Cricetulus griseus: one gene and its partner. The protein of the gene in region 2 purifies or fractionates together with the protein of the main gene of each other region. This does not show direct contact. Links are inferred from orthologs where the notes say so. Each region holds a gene or a part of one and is shown on either strand. Other genes may lie near its edges.

Region 1 (4,859 bases), on a different chromosome or scaffold from region 2:
AAGAAGGGAAGAAATTAGAGTACTTGGTTAAGGGGCATCTAGAGAGGGGAGGACAGCTTCTGCTGGCAGTGTCCTCTTCTTGCTTCAAGGACTTAGGGCCCTCGAGAGCTTGCTAATCAGCCTTTGGCAGGAAATGGGCCCAGGTTGGGCAAGACTTGAGCTATCCACTACCTTTCAAAATGAGGTGACAGTGGCTAAAGGTCTCTGGAACGGAGGTGAGGGGGGAAGGAGGTGTGTCGCCTAGGTTGCCCTTGGGAGTCTGCAGAGGACCGACTGCTAGGGGAAGGGAGAATGGGGGTGCTCTGGTAGGAAGGGCGGCTTTTGGGCCCAGGCTTTGGCAAAGAAAGGAAGTCTTAGGGAGGGTTTCTGGAAGCCTGCAGAGGGGGAGGGGGGCAGAAGCAGCCGGGAGGCGTTTCCGCTCCCCGGGGAGCGAGCTAGCGCCAGGCTGTTCTTGGCTTCTTGCTGGAGCCATTAATCTCGCAGCCGCGGGTGACCTGGATGCCTGGCATTCCAGAGCCTCTGGGCTGTTCCGCTCCCGGCCGGCCCCCCTCTGTTCCCTCCCATGTGCGCCTGACAGTGGCGCCCTTCGGCCCCGGCGGCGCCCAGCCTGGCTTTGGGAGGAGAGAGGGTGAACACAAAGGGTGACTGGATCCTGAATATGGGGCGCCTGCTAAGCAGGCTTAGCCACCCACTCCCTACCAAGGTATCTTAGACGTTGTACTTCTGGTCTCCAGAGAAATAGGAAGCCACTCTTAGTTGAACAGCCTGAGACTCTCAAAGGACAAGTGCTTTGAGGTGGGTTGTAGGCCTAGAACATCACTTAGAGAAGTCTGTGCTCTGTCCTTGGCCCAGCTAGATGGAGACATTCTCTGAGCAGAGCTCCTCCAAGCAATTAGCAAAGTGGTCAGAGATCGCTGGAATCTTGGTTGCCAGTCTTTGGACTAGCGTCATTGCTGTTGTGCTACAGGGTTAGAATTCTGTTGTGAGCATGTGTACCTACATGTGGGTCCCCGAACCATGTGAAGACAGGGGTACTGAACAGGAGAGGCTCCAGTCTGCAGGCTGTGCTCCAGAGCCCACACTTGGGGCCAAGAACTGCACACACAGCCAGATAGCTAGAGCTTCTCAGGCAGCCATTTGGCTCCTTTGTTTCTTCCTCTGTAAATCAAGAACCACAAATCCTACCTGGGAGATTGAGTGGGATAAGACATGAAAAGTGCCTGCCCCCTTCTTCCTGCTTGAACAATGACCTTGTTATAGTACCCTAATCTATAAAAGGTTGGCTCGGTTCCCGCCTGACCAGTCTCTAGTCCTTATAAAGCTTAAGGAAAACTGCATATGTTTCGGTGATGGCCATGCCTGGCACCATTCAAGCAGTGTCCCAGCTGAGAGGCCATTTAGTTCAGTTATCTGCCGTTTGCTCTTAACCTGCATCTCACTGCAACACACAACTCCCAGGCGTGTCAAGAGAGTGAACAGCAGTTGTCGGTACAGAGCCCAGTAGTGGGTGAGTGTGGCGACCATCACTCATCACTACTCCTCGTTGTCTCCTCCACAGGCTATGAACAGCAGCAGGAGCAGGAGAAGCTGGAGCGGGAGATGGCGCTGCTGCGGGGCGCCATCGAGGACCAGCGGCGACGAGCAGAACTGCTGGAGCAGGCGCTGGGCAATGCACAAAGCCGTGCTGCCAGGGCTGAAGAGGAGCTACGCAAGAAGCAGGCCTACGTGGAGAAAGTGGAGCGGCTGCAGCAGGCGCTGGGACAGCTACAGGCTGCCTGTGAGAAGCGGGAGCAGCTGGAGCTGCGTCTGCGCACGCGCCTGGAGCAGGAACTCAAAGCCCTCCGTGCACAGCAGGTGAGCCCAAGAAGACCTGTGTAGCTGCCAGAGCTGGGCAGAATCCAAGGAATCCCTGATCTCTGGTCTTTGTCCCCTGGGAGAGATGATGCTCCATGTCCCCCTTGGCTGCTTGGTCCTTCCCATTCATCTTGCACAGCAAAGGCTCTGCCATGTGGTCTGTGTTCAGGTTTGGAGGACTTGATGAGTCTTACCATGGCAGGAACAGAAACTGGGACCTCAGTACCGGAAAGTAGTCGCTAAGAATGTTCATGCAGAAGACTGGAGCACTCTGATCTATCTCCCCAAGATAGGAAGTAGATGTCTGAGCCCCGAGTCTATTCTTGCTATGTATTTGGACGTAAATATTTTTGTTGTTTACAAACCAGGTAGAGTTCTGTGTCCACACCCAACCTTACCCTGTCATAGAATGACAGGGACCAAAACTTACTTGTTCGGTGTGGTTATCACTCATATTCCCGCTCCTACTTCAGAGGATTGCTTTCCTAGTCAAGTCATCCGTGCCCTTATGCCCTGGCTACCATAAATTGGGAGAGAATGTGAGGACCTTTGTTATCCCCTGTACCCCTGGGTGGAAGCAGGAAGGGGAAATGCGTGCTGCAGATGACTGGACAAGGTATGCATGTGTTAAGGTCTTTGCATCAGCATAATGACCAAAGTCCCACACACCCTAGCCTTTACCCTTGACCGTGATATTCTTTGCTCTACAGAGACAGGCAGGCACCCTCACTGGTGGCGGCGGCAGCAATGGTGGGTCTACTGAGCTCAGTGCCCTGCGACTGTCAGAACAACTGCGGGAGAAGGAAGAACAGATCCTGGCTCTGGAGGCTGACATGACCAAGTGGGAGCAGAAGTATTTGGAGGAACGGGCCATGAGGCAATTTGCCATGGATGCCGCCGCTACCGCAGCCGCACAGCGCGACTCTACTCTCATCAGACACTCCCCTCAGCCCTCACCCAGCAGCAGCTTCAACGAGGGCCTGCTGGCAGGCAACCACAGGCACCAGGAGATGGAGAGCAGGTACTAACTATAGGGCCAGGCAGGGGCATCTGGGGGGAGTGGGGTGGTGGTAGCCAGTCTCTGCTCAGTCCTTTGTCCCTGGACTAGGACAAAGGGCCCCACCCTTGGCAGCTCAGTATGTTTGGCATTCCAGAAATTATAAACAGTTGTTCCCTCAGTGAATCCCTTCCGTGCTCAGGCTGGAGGTGGGTTGGTACCATCCAAGGTCTGGCCATTCTGGGTTCTCGTGCCTGCTACTAGCACTGGGGCCTGGCTCTTGCGATGAGGTGGGCTCAGGAAACATCCGTTGCAGAGCATTAGTGACATATGGGGTCCCCCTCCCAAAGGCAAGAGGTCCTACCTGCCTCAGAGGGATGTCTGAGTTTCCTCCCAGCTTCTGTGAGGTGGGTAGAAGGCAAGGGCTGAGTCCGTGAGTCTGACAGTGTGGCCTCCCACAGGTTGAAGGTGCTCCATGCCCAGATCCTAGAGAAGGATGCAGTGATCAAGGTCCTTCAGCAGCGATCCAGGAAAGACCCTGGCAAGGCTACCCAGGGCACCCTGCGGCCTGCCAAATCTGTGCCATCCATCTTTGCGGCTGCAGTGGGGATTCAGGGCTGGCAAGGACTCTCATCCAGCGATCGGCAAAATGATGCACCTGGCCGGCTGACAGTGGGTATGAGGAGGCTTGCAGTGGGGTGGAGAGGAATGGGAATGTTTGACAGCACAATACCAAACTCTTAGAATACGTGACTACTGAAACCAGGGCTTCCTGGCCCTTCTTCTAGGGAACCTGGCTTAACCTTTGGCTCCCATGACCCTGAAACCCACAGGGGGCCTCCTAGTGGGTGCTGGGCCTCCAGCTGCTTACAGATAGAGATGTAGGCAAGTCTCCACTGTTCCTCAGCAAATACTAAGAAGTCCTGGATTTCCACTACAAAGAAGGGGTGCCAAGCATTGACGCCTAACTTGACCCCACTTATTCCCATTCCAAAAATGGACCCTTTTATTTTACTAGACATCTTGCAACCTAGGAGCAGCTCAGTGTACTGAGTTTGCTTGGGATATTCCTCATCGGGGACATTGTCTTCTATATCCTGTTGTATCCATCACCCTCCTTTCTTTCCTACAGACCGTGTACCGGCAGAGGAGCCCCCGGCCACAGCTCCTCTCCCTACCCACACCAAGCACGGGAGCAGAGATGGAAGCACTCAGACTGATGGCCCTGCAGACAGCACCTCTGCCTGCTTAGCCTCAGAACCCGAGAGCCTCCTGGGGTGTAGCAGCCAAAGGACAGCCTCTCTGGGTAAGCACCCTGCCCCCACTTCCCCTGACCCGTATATTAGATGGGGGCTGAACTGGAACACGTGTTTTCTCCAAACTCATCCTCCATGGGAAGCCCCATGGTATGAACCAAGGGTTGTTGGAGGCATGAAACCCTCAATGGGAGGCAGACCTATAGTTGAGAAAGAAAGCGCCTCATCAGAAGGCACTGTGCCTCCTCCAGAGTTTTCCTCACATATCCTGCTGGTCCAGATTTCTAAGATCATGGAGCTTGACAAGTGACCCTGATGGTGATCTTGAGTTGGGAAGCTATTGGAAGAGCCCAGAAAAGAGGAACTTGAGAAGAAGCCTTTTTTCCTTCTAGTCTGATCTCACATTTACCCTTGCATAGCTGCCTGTGTGCGCCTCATGATCTCAGAAAACCACAGGCATGACAAGAATGCTACAGCCTGCTTCTAACCCTGGGGGCACCCCTCCACTGATCACTCTAGCCAGTTCAGAGTCTAAACACAGGCATACTTCCTGAGCCATCTAGGCCCCAGCCGACGGGAGGGAGCAGAGCATTGGGCTTAGTTGACCAAGTTAAGAGGAATCTGAGGACTGGGACAGATTAGGGGAGGGAATCTGATGAAGAAAGATCCTTTCTTACTTAAAATGTGTTGAGCTGAATAGAACAAGTGGATAACACTCACAGCATAGACCTGTTGTCTTGTCTTTCTCCAGA
Region 2 (5,161 bases):
CTCGGGGGAGGGGAGGGGGAAGACTTGGTCATAATACTGTATGCATGAGAAAACTAAGTCTTCCTACAGTTGTGTTCTTACTTAAAGTCCTGTGGGTTTGTTTTATTGTTTTATTTATTTATTTGTTTATTTATTTATTTTGAAACAGGCACTTTTACTGGCCCATGATAAAGTTGCTGAGCAGGAAATGCAGCTAGAGCCCATTACAGATGAGAGAGTGTATGAAAGTATCGGCCAATATGGAGGAGAAACTGTAAAAATAGTTCGTATAGAAAAGGCTCGAGATATTCCATTGGTAAGTTTCCCACCTCTATACAATGCTGCCGTTGAAGATTCTTGTTACGTTCCTGGAGAGTTTTCTTTTGTGGGTCAATTTGTTGCAGTTCTACTATGCTCTTGCTCAAAACCCTTATTTGGCTGAAAATTAATTTTATTACCTTGTCTCCTAATTTAGTGAAAATAACAGCTTATGAAATACTTACTGAGGATAACTAATTTTCTTTCAATTTACCCTTTACAACAACAGCTAGAAAAATCTAATCTTTGGGACCTAGGTAGATGGCTTCATTGGAGCGTGCTTGGTGCATGTGCTGGGTACACATGAGGATCCAGTGGTTGCACCCCAGCACCTCTGTGAAGAGCCAAGGTGATGTTATGTGATCCCAACTCTCTCAGAGACAAGCAGACTTCTCTGGAGCCTGGCTAGCCCCCAGCCTAACCAAACCAGTCAGCTCCAGGTTTAGTGACCTCGTCTCCAAATATGAGAGTGATTGGGGACTTCTAGAGCACACATGACTGTACACACACACACACACACACACACACACACACACACACTACAGTATTAAAATATTTTAAAAAAATAATGTATAAGCAGTTTACATAACTGGTTCCTTCCAGGAGAATAAAAAGGGAAGTTATGACAATGTTAAAGTAAATTATTAAGAAAATTAGGTGGTTTTTAAAAGATTTGCTTTTTATGTATATGTGCTTGAGTGTACGTATGTGTACCACATACATGCAGGTACATGAAGACATCAAAAAAAGGAATTGGTTCCCCTGGAACCTGACTTACAGGGATTTGTAAGTTGACCAATATGGGTGCTGGGAACAAAACCCAGGTCCTTTGAAGGAGCATCAAGTGCTGTTAACCCCTGAGCCCCAGAAAATAAGTTTTATCTTGTATCCTACATTTCTAGCTTTTGAGTATAAACTTTTTCACTTCCAATTTGAGTATATACTTTTTCACTTCCAATTTGTATAATAAATATTAGTATTTAATACATTTTAATGTGAACTGGCTACAGCTATATTTAACATTTGCATAATTAACCATAATACTATTTATCACTTAATTGTATTTTGAATTTTAAGAAAATTTTTTTCTTTTTTGGTGTTTTGAGACAGGGTTTCTCTGTGGCTTTGGAGGCTGTCTTGAAACTAGCTCTTGGAGACCAGGCTGGTCTTGAACTCACGGAGATCCACCTGCCTCTGCCTCAAAAGTGCTGGGATTAAAGGACTGCACCACCGCTGCCCAGCAGAAGAAATTCTTTATAGTTAGGCACTGTGTTTATTAATTATACCTAGATGTTTTCTAGCTATTAGAATAAGATCCAGAAGAAAACAATTATCATTTTATGTCATTAAACACTGAATACGTTTTTTTCCTGTTATTATGTGCTTCAGAAATCTGTGTGTTTTCAGAAGTTTAATGAATAAAGTGTTTCTGAAACAGGAAATTTGGGGGGGTACATTGCTTTCACATATAATTAGTTATTACTATAGCAGTGAGAGTAAATTTATTATCAAGATAAGTTAAAGGCTAGTCTTATTAGATTAAAACATAGAATTTAAAAGTGAAATACTTAACAAGAAATTACAGTTTTATGTTTAAATTACATGTTGGGTGTTTTTAGGGTGCCACAGTTCGTAATGAAATGGATTCTGTCATCATTAGCCGGATAGTGAAAGGTGGTGCAGCAGAGAAGAGTGGGCTCTTACATGAAGGAGATGAAGTTCTGGAGATCAATGGCATTGAAATCCGGGGAAAAGATGTCAATGAGGTTTTCGACTTGTTGGTAAGTTCAGACCATAGAATAATAACAGATTCATTTAAAAATGTGCTTTCTTATTAAACTTAGAAGGGATTATATTAGAGTATTTTTTTTTTTTTTTTAGAAATAACTAATGAGTATTAGTTATACTTTAGCCTAACTTTAGAGCATTTGTCAATTTGTGTTATTTTTGGTTTTGGGTTCATTTGTTTTTATTTACTTTGGCTTTATTATAACAACTTTATTTTTCCTTTTATTATTTTTTTTTAAAGATTTGTTTTTATTTTATGCATGTCTGTACACCTTGTGCATGCCTGGTGAAATAAATTAAAATTCAGTTTCTTATTCTCACTAGCTACAATTGAACAAGATTTATTGTGTAGTTAATGGCTGTCATCTTGAGAGATAGCCGCAGCACATTTCTCTTGAGCAAATTCTGTTGGGCAGTGCTAGTATAATCAGGTACTCACTTCTAATTACCTTTGTAAAAAGAATTTTTTAAGATTTGTTTGTTATAAGTGTTTTGTCTGCATATATGTATATGCTCCATGTACATGCCTAGTATCTGAGAAAATCTGAAAAGAGCAGTAGATTCCCGAAAGCTGGACTTACATATGGTTGTCAGTCACGCTATGGGTGCTAGGAATCAAACCCAGATTCTTTTTAAGAACAAGTGCTCTTAATTGATGAGCCATCATTTTGTTTTCCTTCCTCCCTTCCTCTCCCCCCTCCCCTTCTTTCTTTCCTTGGTTTCATATGAAATCCTGGCTGTCCTGGAACTTACTATGTAGGCTAGGCTGGCCTTGAACTCAGAGAGGCACCTATCCATACCTCCTGAGTACTAGGATTAAAGGCATTTGCCACCACCCTCAAATAATTGTATTTTGAGAATGATTTTTGATCATATTGCACAGAAGTACAAATTATGATTTTTCCTTTTCCTTTTTGAAGATAAGGTCTCATTCTTATCTTAACCTAGGCTGAAATAAAACTCAATATGTAGCCTAGACTGACCTTTTGGTGATTCTCTTTCCATGCCCTCTTAAGTGCTGCAATTATAAGCATCAGTTAGTGCTCCCAGCAACAATGTTTATATTCTTATTTAGCGTCAGTGTTACAGTAGTATGTCTACTACTTGCTGATTAATAAAGCTAGAAAATATCCATATCCCTATTTTCACCAAATATCAGCTCCGGGAGAACAAAGTGTCATTAGTCATCACTTGTAGCCTATTTTATTGGTGGATGTCTCAGGTTGAGTTTGTTCCCTGTTTTGTCAGTAATAAAAGTTGTAATGATTGATGCCTAGGCTGGTTATTTCTGAAAACAGCTAGTGCTGTATTGGACAGTAATTACAAATCTAGCCATACAACTCGATACAGCAAACTGAACAGAAAGACTAAATAAGGAAGGAATCTGGGAATTTAAGACATTTTCCTATAGGTCTCAGATCATCCTGTTTAGGGAGTTTGATCATAAGATTGTGGAATGATTTTCATAAATATTTCTAAAATAGTTCAACCTTTCTGTTACAGTCTGATATGCATGGTACTTTGACATTTGTTCTGATTCCTAGTCAACAAATCAAATCTCCTCCTGCCAAAGAAACTGTAGTAAGTAATGTTTAAATATTTATTGTTTATTGTTCCTTGACTTCTACTTTTCTGTATCAGAAACTTCACTGTGTGGTGTGTTCAAGTAAAAACAGAGAAATTGGGTGATTTTATTTAAATAAGTATAAGATATCAACATTTAAAATTTGGTAAACTCTGAACATTTTAGAAGATATCCAACATACTTCAGTCTCAGAATTTTTATTACCATTGATGTTTGTCTACAGTTATAAGTGACTTTAGCTCAGTAACATAGAAGAGAAAGGTACATTTACAAATATGTGGAACTCCTTACTTTAGTGTATTGCTGCGTGTTAAATATTTAACTTAGCTCTATTAAATGATAGACTTGATTACTGCACAACACAGCAAGTTCCGTTAAGTATATATCCAAGAGAATTGGAAATATGTATTCATGTACAACTTGTATGTGAATATTCATGCAGGTATTATTTGTAAGACCTAAAAAATTAAAAACAACAGCAAAACTTCTTAAAATAGCTTCCACAATCATTAGAAAACACAGTATAGTTTATCTGTCTGTACAGTGAGATATTATTTGATGTGCAATTTGGGAATTGGGAGAGAACATGAATGTTCCCTCATTGGTATTGAGTACAGGAGAGTTAAAAATAGTCTACCAATATCAATGGTTAGCCTGTCGCTGAATATACTAAAACTATAAACTGTGTAGCGCTATGAATTACATCAAATGTCTATTTTCATATCAAGAATAGAAGGTTCCCTAGGGAACTCTCTTAAACAGAACCTCACTTGAAAATTGGACAAAGCATCTTTACCATATTGGCAAACAACACCCAATTAAAGAACCAGAATGTCATCAGCATCTAAAACTCCCCACCTTATATGCCCTTTAGCCATTATTCATCTTGTAATCCACCCCACACCCAGCATAAGCATTGTCCTCATTTCTAGAAACTCTAGTTCCTTTACATTTTATTTTCTATAAATGTATTGCATAGATTTGGATCATATATAGTAAGGATATTTTTCCCAGTTGATCATCCTGATTTAGATAATTTAGCCTTGTGGAACGTGCTAGTTACATGCACTTTTAAAAAGAAACACAGAGCAGCAAAGGCACAGTTGCACCCATCATGAAGTTCACGGGCTATGACACGCCAAGGAAATTTAACATGGGACCTGGTGAGATTAGTCTGCCTTTTCTAATGGTGGTAGTTTAGAAGCTGCATACCTTACTGAGGATCACTATTTTCACAGGTCAGACTGTTTCTATTCTGCTTACCTTGCCCTTGATGCACCTTTGTTAGCTGTTAACAGTAACTCAGTTTGAACAGTCCTCTTCTTCTTTGTAGTACAGAGATGTCAACAGATAAGCTTAAGCAAATCCTACCCTAAAGTGTTGTTACTTAGCTAAATGTCCTTTTAGTTCATTTCCCTGCACTGCTGTAACACGTAGGTACATTTGTGCTAGATATTTTGTGTTACCATTTTATTTATTCTTGCTGTTATT

The links.
Region 1: the proteins of Mpp5 (region 2) and Amotl2 purify together in Homo sapiens (affinity purification with mass spectrometry; 3 studies listed by BioGRID and IntAct, counting the BioPlex papers as one, with this or other methods). This does not show direct contact. The link is inferred for Cricetulus griseus from reciprocal best matches to the Homo sapiens genes PALS1 and AMOTL2.

Annotation. Positions count from the first base shown.
Region 1 is NC_048597.1:210,968,851-210,973,709, forward strand, and holds part of Amotl2 (angiomotin-like protein 2), read left to right. Parts: intron 1-1,558; coding exon 1,559-1,854; intron 1,855-2,564; coding exon 2,565-2,875; intron 2,876-3,312; coding exon 3,313-3,527; intron 3,528-3,983; coding exon 3,984-4,157; intron 4,158-4,858; coding exon 4,859-4,859. UniProt on the Homo sapiens protein: Regulates the translocation of phosphorylated SRC to peripheral cell-matrix adhesion sites. Required for proper architecture of actin filaments.
Region 2 is NC_048598.1:124,817,726-124,822,886, reverse strand, and holds part of Mpp5 (MAGUK p55 subfamily member 5), read left to right. Parts: intron 1-148; coding exon 149-295; intron 296-1,916; coding exon 1,917-2,078; intron 2,079-3,588; coding exon 3,589-3,666; intron 3,667-5,161. UniProt on the Homo sapiens protein: Plays a role in tight junction biogenesis and in the establishment of cell polarity in epithelial cells.